Drosophila melanogaster: one gene and its partner. The protein of the gene in region 1 interacts with the protein of each later gene in a pairwise test. Each region holds a gene or a part of one and is shown in the gene's direction. Other genes may lie near its edges.

Region 1 (6,031 bases):
TCTAGAAAATGATTTGATTTAAGTGCAAAGTCCATGAATATAAAAATACTTTTGAACATGAACGCTAGTTCTCCGGGAATTTATGTATTATCCTGAGCAGATTGTACTAACGATTATGAATTATGATTCTAGTCATTCACTAAACGCCGAGGCAACCACACGATGATTGCCTCGGCAATCCGGCACGATTGTTCTTCTGGAAACTGGGTGGCTGGGCATGTACATAAGGGTGTACTTTTACCTGGACTGGATTAGGCAGCAACTGGCCATAAAATAGATTTAAATTAGAGATTTGAATTAGAAAAGTCTATCGAGATCACCGTTCTATCAGAAGTAGTAGTTTTTTTCAAATATATATTTTATATATATAAGCATTTAAATAACCTTTACCCAGTAAGAAGATACAAGATACGTAAGATCAGCCTTGCTTACCCACTTATAAAGAAGTAAAAACAAAATCGTTTTATTGTGGAATAATTGTTAAAAGAGCGGGGATTTCATTAGCTTTTACCCGCTTTAGACGCACCTCCATTGGGCTTTCCGCAGCTAATTGATCGGTAACTAATTGGGAGCTAAACCCGTTCGGATCGCACAGTCGATCACCGATCGCCACCTGAAGATGAAGATATGGAGGCTGTTCTCCCAGCTGATCGTTTCGCTGGCATGTGTTTTTGGCCAGCAGCCGGATATGGATGTTGTGGGATGTAAGTGGACAAAGAAGTAGCCTTGCAAGTGGCTTTAAAGATCTAGTTATATATTATAATATATTAACGTGTTGACCACTGATCTGAGCTGTTCTTTTTGATCAATATTGGATTATCAAATTGAAAATCGCAATGTTCAGCTTGCTCTAGATACAAGAAGAGCGTTTTCGAGGAAAGAATCGAGTTCGGTTTCCTGTTGCCCGGAGCTTCGATTGAGAGTCGGATCATAGACAACTGCAGGAGCTACACGCCGCTCATCGTCGGTGGTCATCCGGCCCAGCCCAGGGAATTTCCGCATATGGCCCGCTTGGGGCGTCGCCCAGATCCGAGCAGCCGTGCCGACTGGTTTTGTGGTGGCGTTCTGATCAGCGAGCGGTTCGTCTTAACCGCAGCTCACTGCCTGGAATCGGAAAGGTAAGCAGAGGTTTTTCCCTGCTCAAGTTAGGAATAAATATCTCATTTTTATAGGGGAGAGGTGAATGTTGTGCGATTGGGCGAACTCGACTTCGATTCCTTGGATGAGGATGCGGCGCCCAGAGACTATATGGTTGCAGGGTATATAGCCCATCCGGGCTACGAAGATCCGCAGTTCTACCATGATATAGGTCTTGTCAAACTGACGGAGGCCGTGGTCTTTGACCTATATAAGCATCCAGCCTGTCTGCCGTTCCAGGATGAACGCTCTTCCGACTCCTTCATAGCCGTTGGGTGGGGAAGCACTGGCCTGGCGCTGAAGCCATCCGCCCAGCTGCTGAAGGTGAAGTTGCAGCGCTACGGAAATTGGGTAAGTAAATTGGCATGGGATATTATAAATCCCCATGGATAATCCACATTAATAAATATATTATTTCCTTATAGGTGTGCAAGAAACTGCTTACCCGGCAGGTGGAGGAGTTCCCTCGAGGATTCGATGGAAACAACCAGCTCTGTGTTGGTTCGGAGATGGCCCAGGACACCTGTAACGGCGACTCAGGAGGACCTTTGCTAATGTACCATCGGGAATATCCCTGTATGTACGTAGTTGTGGGAATCACGTCGGCCGGTTTGTCCTGTGGGTCACCAGGAATACCCGGAATCTACACTCGCGTCTATCCTTATTTAGGCTGGATAGCCCGAACTTTGGCCACGTTTTAAATTACATCTGGATCTGTAAATTTATATAAATTTTTTACTAAATACTTAAAAAATTAAATTTAAAAGCATTTAACAGTCCGATTAATTTAGAATCGCTGCTAAGTGGAAGCGAGTCATTCCTACGAAATCGATAGACCGAACATATCGATGCAGTCATCGATAGTTGTTTACCTTTTTTTCCCAAAAAAAAGAAACATTTACAAAACAAAAGTCGTCGCTGGATTTGGATTGTAAATTACCAATGACCAGAGGTCTGAAGCCGCATGGCGAATACGATGTAAGCGGACATCCTGCGCAGGATTCCACATCACAATTTCCCCTTCCTGGCTGCGGCGCATTTTATTTTGTCCCCGCATAATTGCCAATTGTGCCGGATCATGGAGAAGGATCTGGGTGAGGAAAAGGACCAGGATCAGGAGCAGAACACTGAGATGGAGCCCAAGCAGGAGATGGACGTGGCGCAGTCTTACATAACGCGGGCCAAGATGAATCCTGCCAAGAAGGATAACGAGAAGCGACGACGCAAGGATGCCATGCGAAGGGTAATTAGTGCGACTGTGTGTGTGTTTTTACGCTGGCAGAGCTTGTTCCAATTTAGATTGTTTATAAATTACAAAGTTCATGTCAAATACCAATCTTTGATTATATTTTAGTGTCCAAAAGATCAAACCCCCTAAGTTATTATAAAATAAACCACGGTCTATATATTAAGCCATGTATGTACGCCTATCAAGCCAATGCTAATCTATGAAAATGTTCCAGGTCTCGATGATACTGCGAAAATGCGACTCCATGCGCACGACGGAAGATCGACAGTTTTTGGAGAAACACCCGGACATGGTGAAGACGACCAAGAAGCGCAAGGAGCGGGTAGAGATATACAAGGAGCGGGTTGTGGAACGCGAGGATGCGCCGCACGTGATCGAGGCGAAGGTGGAGCAGTTGGCCAACATCATTTCGCAGGCTAAGCATCTAGTTTGCTACACGGGAGCCGGTATAAGCACGGCAGCCCTGATTCCGGACTATCGCGGTAGCCAGGGAATATGGACACTGCTCCAAAAGGGTCAGGACATCGGCGAGCATGATCTATCCAGCGCGAATCCCACCTACACGCACATGGCACTTTATGAGCTGCATCGCCGCAGATTGCTGCATCATGTGGTCTCCCAGAATTGTGATGGCCTGCACTTGCGATCCGGATTACCGAGAAATTCGTTGTCCGAAATCCATGGAAACATGTACGTGGAGGTGTGCAAGAACTGTCGACCGAACAGCGTTTACTGGCGCCAGTTCGACACCACGGAGATGACTGCCCGCTATTGCCACAAGACCCACCGCCTATGCCATCGCTGCTCGGAGCCTTTGTACGACACCATTGTGCACTTCGGAGAGCGGGGGAACGTCAAGTGGCCATTGAACTGGGCGGGAGCCACTGCCAATGCGCAGCGAGCGGATGTGATTCTCTGCTTGGGCTCCAGTCTCAAGGTACTCAAGAAGTACACTTGGCTTTGGCAGATGGACCGGCCTGCCCGCCAGCGAGCAAAGATCTGTGTGGTCAACTTGCAGTGGACGCCCAAGGATGCGATTGCTAGCATAAAGATCAATGGGAAATGCGATCAGGTGATGGCCCAATTGATGCATCTACTCCACATTCCAGTTCCCGTTTACACGAAAGAGAAGGATCCGATTTTCGCACATGCTTCGCTTCTGATGCCCGAGGAACTGCACACGCTTACACAACCATTGCTGAAGAATGCCGACGAGGAGGAGGCCTTCACCACTACCACTGAGGAAACGCAAGACTCGACTATCTCCAGCGAGAGCTGTAGCTTTAACTACAGTGATCTTCCCATCGGCAAAGGACCCCGCATTCGCACACCCATCAAAAATGGTCGAAGAGTTAAGACTAACCTGGAGCTCCGACAGAAATTCAAGACGCTCAATGGCCAGGACGAGGAAATTAAGGTGGAGCATGTGAAAACAAATGGGGAGGTTAAAACAGAGAAGGACTTAATCACGCTGGAGTCGTCCATTAAAATAGAGACTGAAGTTAAGCTGGAGAAATTAGAGTGCTCGGACACCAATTTTCAGCAGGAGTTGAAACTTTTGGAGCTGCTACCAAAGCTAGAACCACTTTCGCTCAAAGAAGAGACGGAGGAAACGCCGAGCAATGGTTTTCCAGAGCTGCCAAAACTAGTCGCCATACAAAAAACTCATGCGGAATGTTTGTCCGCGGTCCCAACTGAATCAAGACTAAAGCCGCTTCAGCTGCCACCGCTGGTGCCCATTGGAGCACCACTGTCCACACCCTTTGTTGAGCCCAAATTGGTCCTGCCACCTGCCTCTCAGTCGTCCAGCATACAGATAAAGAGCGAGGGCGATGGTGATTCCAGCACAGAGAACGATAACGAAGAGGAGGAGGAAAGCGAGCTGGCCCAGATGGATTTGTTGAGGCAAAACAACGATGAGGAGCTGCTTCGCCAATTACCCACGTGGTACGATGCCAAGTACGCGTATTCTGGTCTGCATAGCATCCTGATCCCACCACCAGCGGATCTCAATATTTGGAACTCGCAGGTGGTGCCGAACTTTGCGATGAACAGATCCGCTGCCAGTTGTTTCTTCTGCTTTGATCGGTATGCGGAGCTGGAGTGCCAGTTTTACCGGCGTTGGAACCTCAGTCAGCGCAAACACAAGAAACGGGCCAGAAGCGGTCGGTTCGTGGTCTGCGAGTGCTGTCCAACTTCCGACGACGACGATGACTACGATGAGAATATATCCTTGGCACACATAGCAGCGGCGGAAACGGCAAAGCGAAGACAGCAGCTGAGCACGAGTTTTCCACGGAAGTTGGCGCGAACCCAGGCAGGATGGTATGGCAAGGGCTATAAGAAAGGTCGGAAGAGACGGTAGATTCCCATTTATGTACGGCCGTGATTCCTCCCTAAGATAAGAAGGTGAAATGATTACCCTTGAGTCAATGGCTTTTTGGAAACGTTTGATCTTATACTTGATATGAAGGAGCTAGCTGTTTCTTTTCTACGGAAAAGATCGACCTGCCCTCACCGAGACATATGCTCGCTTCAATAGTATTTTAGCTATAGGTTTATAAGTCATAGATGATAGTGGCAGCTAGAATAGAATAGGGTTCCTTTTATTTAGACGTGTTTTTTAAAATGCTCTATTTGTCAGTCTTTGATTATATTAATAGGTCAGCCCGTTTTTGTCTATTTTCGATATTTAGTTTAATTTTAATGGGTTTGATTGTATGTCACAATTGTGTAACTCTTGTCCTGGTATTTTGGTGCACTTGCTGCAGAAATCATTTGACCTTGTTTTTAATTATTAATATAGGTTTTTACTTTTAGAACGCTAACCTAACATCCGCCCCTCTACACACGTAAGTTAAATAAAGAAAATAAGCATTATGGTATAATGAAATGCATTCGATTTTTATTCGCCCTTCAGTTGCAGTAACCAGTTAAAAATAAAACTGCAATAGATTCGCTTTCATTATGTGTAGAACCAAATTTATTCATTAACTTAAACATAAAGTATTGCTATTTTAGTTATAGTTTTGCGATCCCGTGTGAGTGTTTGTGTGTGATTAGGCATTCCATGCTGGGAGCGAGCGGAGACGAAGAATTGGCTTCCCCATCAATCTTCAGGAGGTGTGTGAGTCTCACGTGGAACATTGCAAAATACCCAAGAATCAACAGAAGACCAGGCAACGGAAACAAACAAGGGATAACTACACACATAGAAAACAGCAGGTTGATTAGATTAACGCTATCGATCGATATACTCGGGGGCAGGGCGTGGGCGTGGGTTCGGAATTTCCAGGGTGCATGTAGCGCACAAAACATAATATCTAGAGCTACGCAGAGCAGCCAGTGGGCCAATATAAAAATACAAAGTTTCACAAATACAGGACGTGGACACGAGAAAATGGCTGCCGATTGGAGTGTGGGTCTTTTAAATGCTCTGAGGGCGCAATGTCAGTAGCGAATCACGTTTCCATATAATACAATTATCCAATTCCGTAGACAGAAAAAGGGCGCGTGCTTTGAGCACGTCGGCGTTGAGATTAAAATCGCAATAGTTTTTGAGTAGCGTGTGAGGGAATGGAAATGGGAATGACTGCATAGACGGGACTGAGACTAGAGCCGGGATCAGGAGCAGCTGCTTAGGCC
Region 2 (5,620 bases), on another chromosome or scaffold:
TTTTTTCCGCCAAGCCTATAGAACCTCTTGAATTATTATTTTTTGTATAATTTCATTACATTGTTGTTTACATTATTAGTTCACAGAGTTAGACAAAACAGAACCACAGACACAGCCGGTTGGCGCTTATCAAACGCATTTGTTATCCAGTTTATGAAACACACAACCTCACACCCACACACAAGCGACGCAATTCATCAAACTCGTTTTATTTTCGTTCCTAATTTTGCTATTGAACTGCGTTCGAATCCATTTCACACCCAATTTAATGTAAGATGTCTTGAAATTGGCTAGGTTATAAAGTGATCTTGAATTTAGATGAAAACATTTGAAAAGCATGCCGTGATGCTGTCAAATGAGAAAAGGAAGTAACAAAAAATGGATTGGATCTGGATCCCACAATCCTCTAATTACTGATCTTATACACGAAAGAGAACCTAAAAATTACGATATATTATATATAAATATACATATATATTGTAGGATATGTATACATACATATACTTTTTGTATTTTGTAGTCTAGAGTGCGCACGTTTACTTTATGCGAGTTTAACATTCTAAACCCAAAATAAAGGTATGTCCACCGCTGTTATGATTTTCTACAGTACTTAACGACTTGAACGCATATTTCCTCTTTCGGGAAATGTACACAAAACCCATTTAAGCTTAATTTATTATCGTATTTGTAATAAATTGAAAAGATTATTATATTGCACCATCATGCATAATTTAGATTTTCGCTACACTGTAGCGCCTTCGTTTAATTATAATTTTGTAATAAATCAAGCTAAAACAAAGACTTTGATTTTGTTTTAATCGATTTGAGTTTTTCTTTTGATCGCGCACAGAACTAACACGAAAGTGATTGTGATTCAAAATAAGTAACTAACATTTGTAAAATGGCGAAACTTGCGGCACGATCGCCCCTAATGACTATCCCCCACACACCGATCTGCACACAAAGCTATCACTTGTGTAAACTGAGCAACTAACAATATTTTATGAAGCCCACACTATGTGCTACCGAGGCATTAAAACCTATAATAATTCTAGCTGTAAGCTCTACGAAAACTACAAACGGTAGGAAATCAGAAACAAAGAATAAAGATGTAAACATATATACACACACTGTGCTAACTGTGCTAAAGGAATTTTGGAGATATGGATGTAATACTACTTTGGTGATATCACGCAAAAGGCAATTGAAACAACTAACGAAATAATTTTACAATAACGTATTGATAAACATGTATCTATGTAAGCACATGCGAATGGCGCGTATTTTGCTATATTTATGTTTATTTTCTAACGGGACGTAAACACTTTAAATTTTCAAAATAAATGTTTTTCCACCTCAACATCATAAAGTGATAACAAGATCTTTTGAATTTGGTGGGCATTTGCGATATCGATATAAAATCTACCGAAATCGATAGCGATTGTATTGTCGCTGCCTGAATATTTTTTAGATCACTTGGTTCTTGTTTCTTAGAATGCATGGAAAAACTTTTATCTTATAGAATTTTAAATTGTGATCTAAGCTGAAGTTAATTGTTATAGGATGGCTGGTTTTATTTAAGTTCAACATTTATATACGAAGGATGGCCTAAATAAATGTTCTAATCAATTTATATTATATTACCTTAATTGTTAATGGTAGACAATACATAAAATAATATTTGATTTTAAATTATACAATGCTTTTAGAACATCCAGTGCGATACCACCGCCTATCGGTGCCGGCTGGTTATCGATATCATCAGTTTGCACCATCGTCGCCCACCCACCACTAGTTGTCAACATATAATTGCAAAGATGCGGCCCACATTCCTGGCCATTTTGTGCTTCCTGGCGTGGAATCCCAGCTCCGAGGCGACCGGCAATCTGAGTCCTGGAGCCGTGGGCGTGCACCGTCGCTTCGAGTACAAGTACTCGTTCAAGCCGCCGTATTTGGCACAGAAAGACGGCACCGTGCCGTTTTGGGAGTACGGGGGAAGTGAGTACGAGTGGAAGACGCAGCTCCACGTCAGTTGTTTTGGCCCACTCGCTGCTGGTCTGCGGCCATGGGTGCGAGCGAGATGGCGCGAGGCGGCCAAGTGTACACGCAGGCACTTTGTTTGGATGTCGTTTTGACCACGGTTTCGGGTGTTTCTATAGCCACAACTTGTTGCTCCTCATTTCAGATGCCATCGCCAGTTCGGAAAGTGTGCGCGTGGCGCCATCGCTGCGCTCACAGAAGGGTGCCATCTGGACAAAGTCACAGACGAACTTCGACTGGTGGGACGTGGAGATCGTGTTCCGGGTGACGGGACGTGGCAGGATCGGAGCCGATGGATTGGCCTTCTGGTACACCACGGAAAAGGGTGACTACAATGGGCCTGTGTTCGGATCCTCGGACCGCTGGAATGGTCTGGCCATCATGTTCGATTCCTTCGATAATGACAACAAGCACAACAATCCTTACATCAGTGCCGTGCTCAATGATGGCACCAAGCTGTATGACCATGCCGAAGATGGAACCACTCAGCTCCTGAGCGGTTGCCTCAGGGATTTCCGTAACAAGCCCTTCCCTACACGGGCGCGAATCGAGTACTACAACAACGTGCTTACCGTCATGATCCACAACGGAATGTCCAACAACAACGATGACTACGAGCTGTGTCTGAGAGCGGATGGCGTCAATCTGCCCAAGAACGGCTACTTTGGCATTTCCGCCGCCACGGGCGGTCTGGCCGATGACCACGATGTGTTCCATTTCCTGACCACGTCGTTGCATGCCGCTGGACAAGTTCAGGAGCAGCCCAAGGTGGAAAACCAGGAGAAGCTTACGCAAGAGTACAAGGAATACCAAGATAAACTGGAGAAACAGAAGCAGGAGTACAAGAAGGACCATCCCGACGAGGTAATTGCCACGCAGCCAGCTGATAAAGATGTCTTATCGCTAGTTTTGATAATCAACTTTCGTATAATCCCACAGCACAAAGACGAGGAGGACTGGGAGGAGTTCTACGAGTCGGAGAACCAGCGTGAGCTGCGTCAGATCTGGCAGGGTCAGAGCCAAATTGCCGATCACCTACGCGAACTTTCCCGCAAAGTGGATGAGATTATTGGCCGCCAGGAGACCACGCTGTCGCTGGTCTCACGTAATGCTGGACAGGCTCTGCCTCCGCCCGCCGCCGGCGGAGTGCCACAGCAACAGCTGCCCGTTGGCGCAGTCAGCAGGAGCGATGTAGATCTTCTGCTCACTAATCAGAACATGCTGCTCAGTTCCATCCGCGAGATTCGTCAACTGGTTGGCGATATCAATGTGCGCACTGATAACATTCAAACGAATCAGAAGCATGCGCCCACAGCACAAATCCAATCCACCGGCTATGATGTACAAACGCTCATCGCCGAGATGCGCGATGGCATGAATCAGGTCAAGCAGGGCATCACCCACGTGGGCCAAAGGTGAGGAATACGCTCAAAGTCTATTTTAAGTTTCCTAAAGCTGTTGTCATCGAAGTTATTCTGAGCTCGAATTAATTTTAACCTTTTCAGCCATATTTATACTAATTTTTCGTATTCCACATTATGAAATTAGAGTTTTAACAAGTTTGATTCAGAGGAACATGTTTATGAGTTTTAGACTATTATACTTTATTGTCATCTTTTAAGTACCTCCTTGATACTCAATATGCATTCCCTTACCTTGCAGATTGGCAGCGCCACAGGGAGCAGCGCAGGTGGCCAATTGTCCCACGGGCAATTGCGTTGGAGTCACATTGTTCCTAAGCGTAACTGTTGTGCAACTGCTGCTAGTCTTCATCTACAACGTCTTCAAGTGAGTTCATGGAATCTTTAAGCGTGGATTCGAAACTAAACAATCTAACTTATTATTCCTTGCAGAAACCGCAGCGAAGCACAGGCGAAAAAGTTCTATTAGGCGAATTCGCGACTTATTGGGATCGTAACGAATAACAAACACACAAGCATACACCCACAGAAATCACGAGGAAACAGATTCGCACACCTGACTAGGCAGCAACTAAATTTAGTTAAAATGAAAGATTTAAGACTTCAGCGTAGCATGCTCTACCATTATGTGTAACTGTTTGTTTTTTAAATAGAAGTCTGTTTAAGAAGTCAGGTCACGAATACAAACTCAAGTCGTTACTTAATCAAAGCAAGAACAAGAAATTTGATCAATGATGTATGCCTCATGACAATGCCACGCAATACAAAACGAAGAAACCGTCGAAGAAGCCACAAGACAAACTTCCCTTAGTAATAGCCAACAGAAGATGTTTCATATTTGTTTTAGCAAGTCAAGTCGAAAGTTTCACTCCATTCTCAACTCTGCATATCATGTGTGCAGGCATTTATAAGAAGCACAAGAAAATCTATCTAAAAAAAAATAAAAATAAAAATGGCAAAATCTATATAAGTACGAAAATTCCGTAAACGTAGCAAATTTTTGTAATATCTTGTATACTTTAGAGTTGAGATGAATCCATCAGGCTCGGCTCTTGAAACTGAATTGGCAACATAAATCTTTTTTCCCATTTTCATGCGCCAAATGGTCAACAAAGCTAGTTAGCCAGCATTTTTGTTATTACGCCAGAAAGTGAATTAATTTAATAATTATGATGAACTGTCTCACTAAGTTTTTGTTCGGTTCGCATCGTCACTGGTGCGATGTAAGGAAGTTTTCTACTGAATAATCTTAATATACATACTGATAAATTATAAAACAATTGAAGTGAAGTGTGTTTTTATATATGTTGTCCATTCCAGTCTCGATAGAAATGTTTAAAGTGAAAATAAAAATCAATTTATAGAAAAATCTATCTCCAACTGTTCAACTTGATAGTTTTAATCTGCGTCCTCATTTTATTTTTATACTTTTCCGAATGCGATATTATTTTCGCTGATGTCGACAGAGGAAAAAGTTTATTTCTTGAAAAGTCCTCGCAAGCATAAACTAGAATCCCTGTCAGTTGCCCATCCCCATCTTCATCCTCCCATCGATGACAATGCGGCAAAAATGGCGCCACTTGGTCGCCAGAATGCGTGGGGCTGGGGAACGAGTTGGGTTCTGGTGAACTTTGGCCATAAAATGTAACTGCCAATGGTGGCATTGTGGGCAGGTCCTCTGTGGTCTGAGTACCCATTCCATCGCATTGGGGAAAATCCCAGGAAAAGCACAGCCAAAGATAGATGGACAGAAGCCAACGGCAGTCGCGGCCCATGCAATAAATTCTCTACGGGATCGGGGAATGGGTTACACAGTTCTGGTGTGCGGTTGGATGGTAGCTTCGCCTATGTGCTCCGTTTCCTATATACTTTCACTGCGCAGGAGCAGGACCAGTTTCCAAGTGGTTTGGAAGGGGGACTTGAACGGCTATTAACTTTTTATAACAGCCAATCGGCATGAGGCTTGCAAACAGAGAAAATGGTTTCGTGCCGTTGGGTTTTTCCAGCAGGGATGGGATGTGTGCACTGCAACAAAACTGACTTCATAGTATACGATTTACACACGGCAAACTAAACTAAATCATGATCTAGTACATGTTTTTTAAGTTCGTACTTATAGTTATAGAAACCCCTTAAAAGTTGCCGTAACAAATAACATT

What was found.
Region 2: the proteins of Sirt7 (region 1) and ergic53 interact in a two-hybrid assay, tested with the Drosophila melanogaster proteins (one large-scale study listed by BioGRID).

Annotation. Positions count from the first base shown.
Region 1 is NT_033777.3:29,053,929-29,059,959, forward strand, and holds Sirt7 (sirtuin 7), read left to right. Parts: upstream 1-1,998; 5' UTR 1,999-2,215; coding exon 2,216-2,380; intron 2,381-2,600; coding exon 2,601-4,751; 3' UTR 4,752-5,276; downstream 5,277-6,031. Other genes in the region: CG11843 (uncharacterized protein), read left to right, coding at 620-704, 845-1,118, 1,173-1,488, 1,563-1,838; Cul5 (cullin 5), read right to left, coding at 6,025-6,031.
Region 2 is NT_037436.4:8,533,189-8,538,808, forward strand, and holds ergic53 (ergic53), read left to right. Parts: upstream 1-1,788; 5' UTR 1,789-1,817; coding exon 1,818-1,998; intron 1,999-2,185; coding exon 2,186-2,904; intron 2,905-2,979; coding exon 2,980-3,455; intron 3,456-3,702; coding exon 3,703-3,828; intron 3,829-3,893; coding exon 3,894-3,930; 3' UTR 3,931-4,825; downstream 4,826-5,620.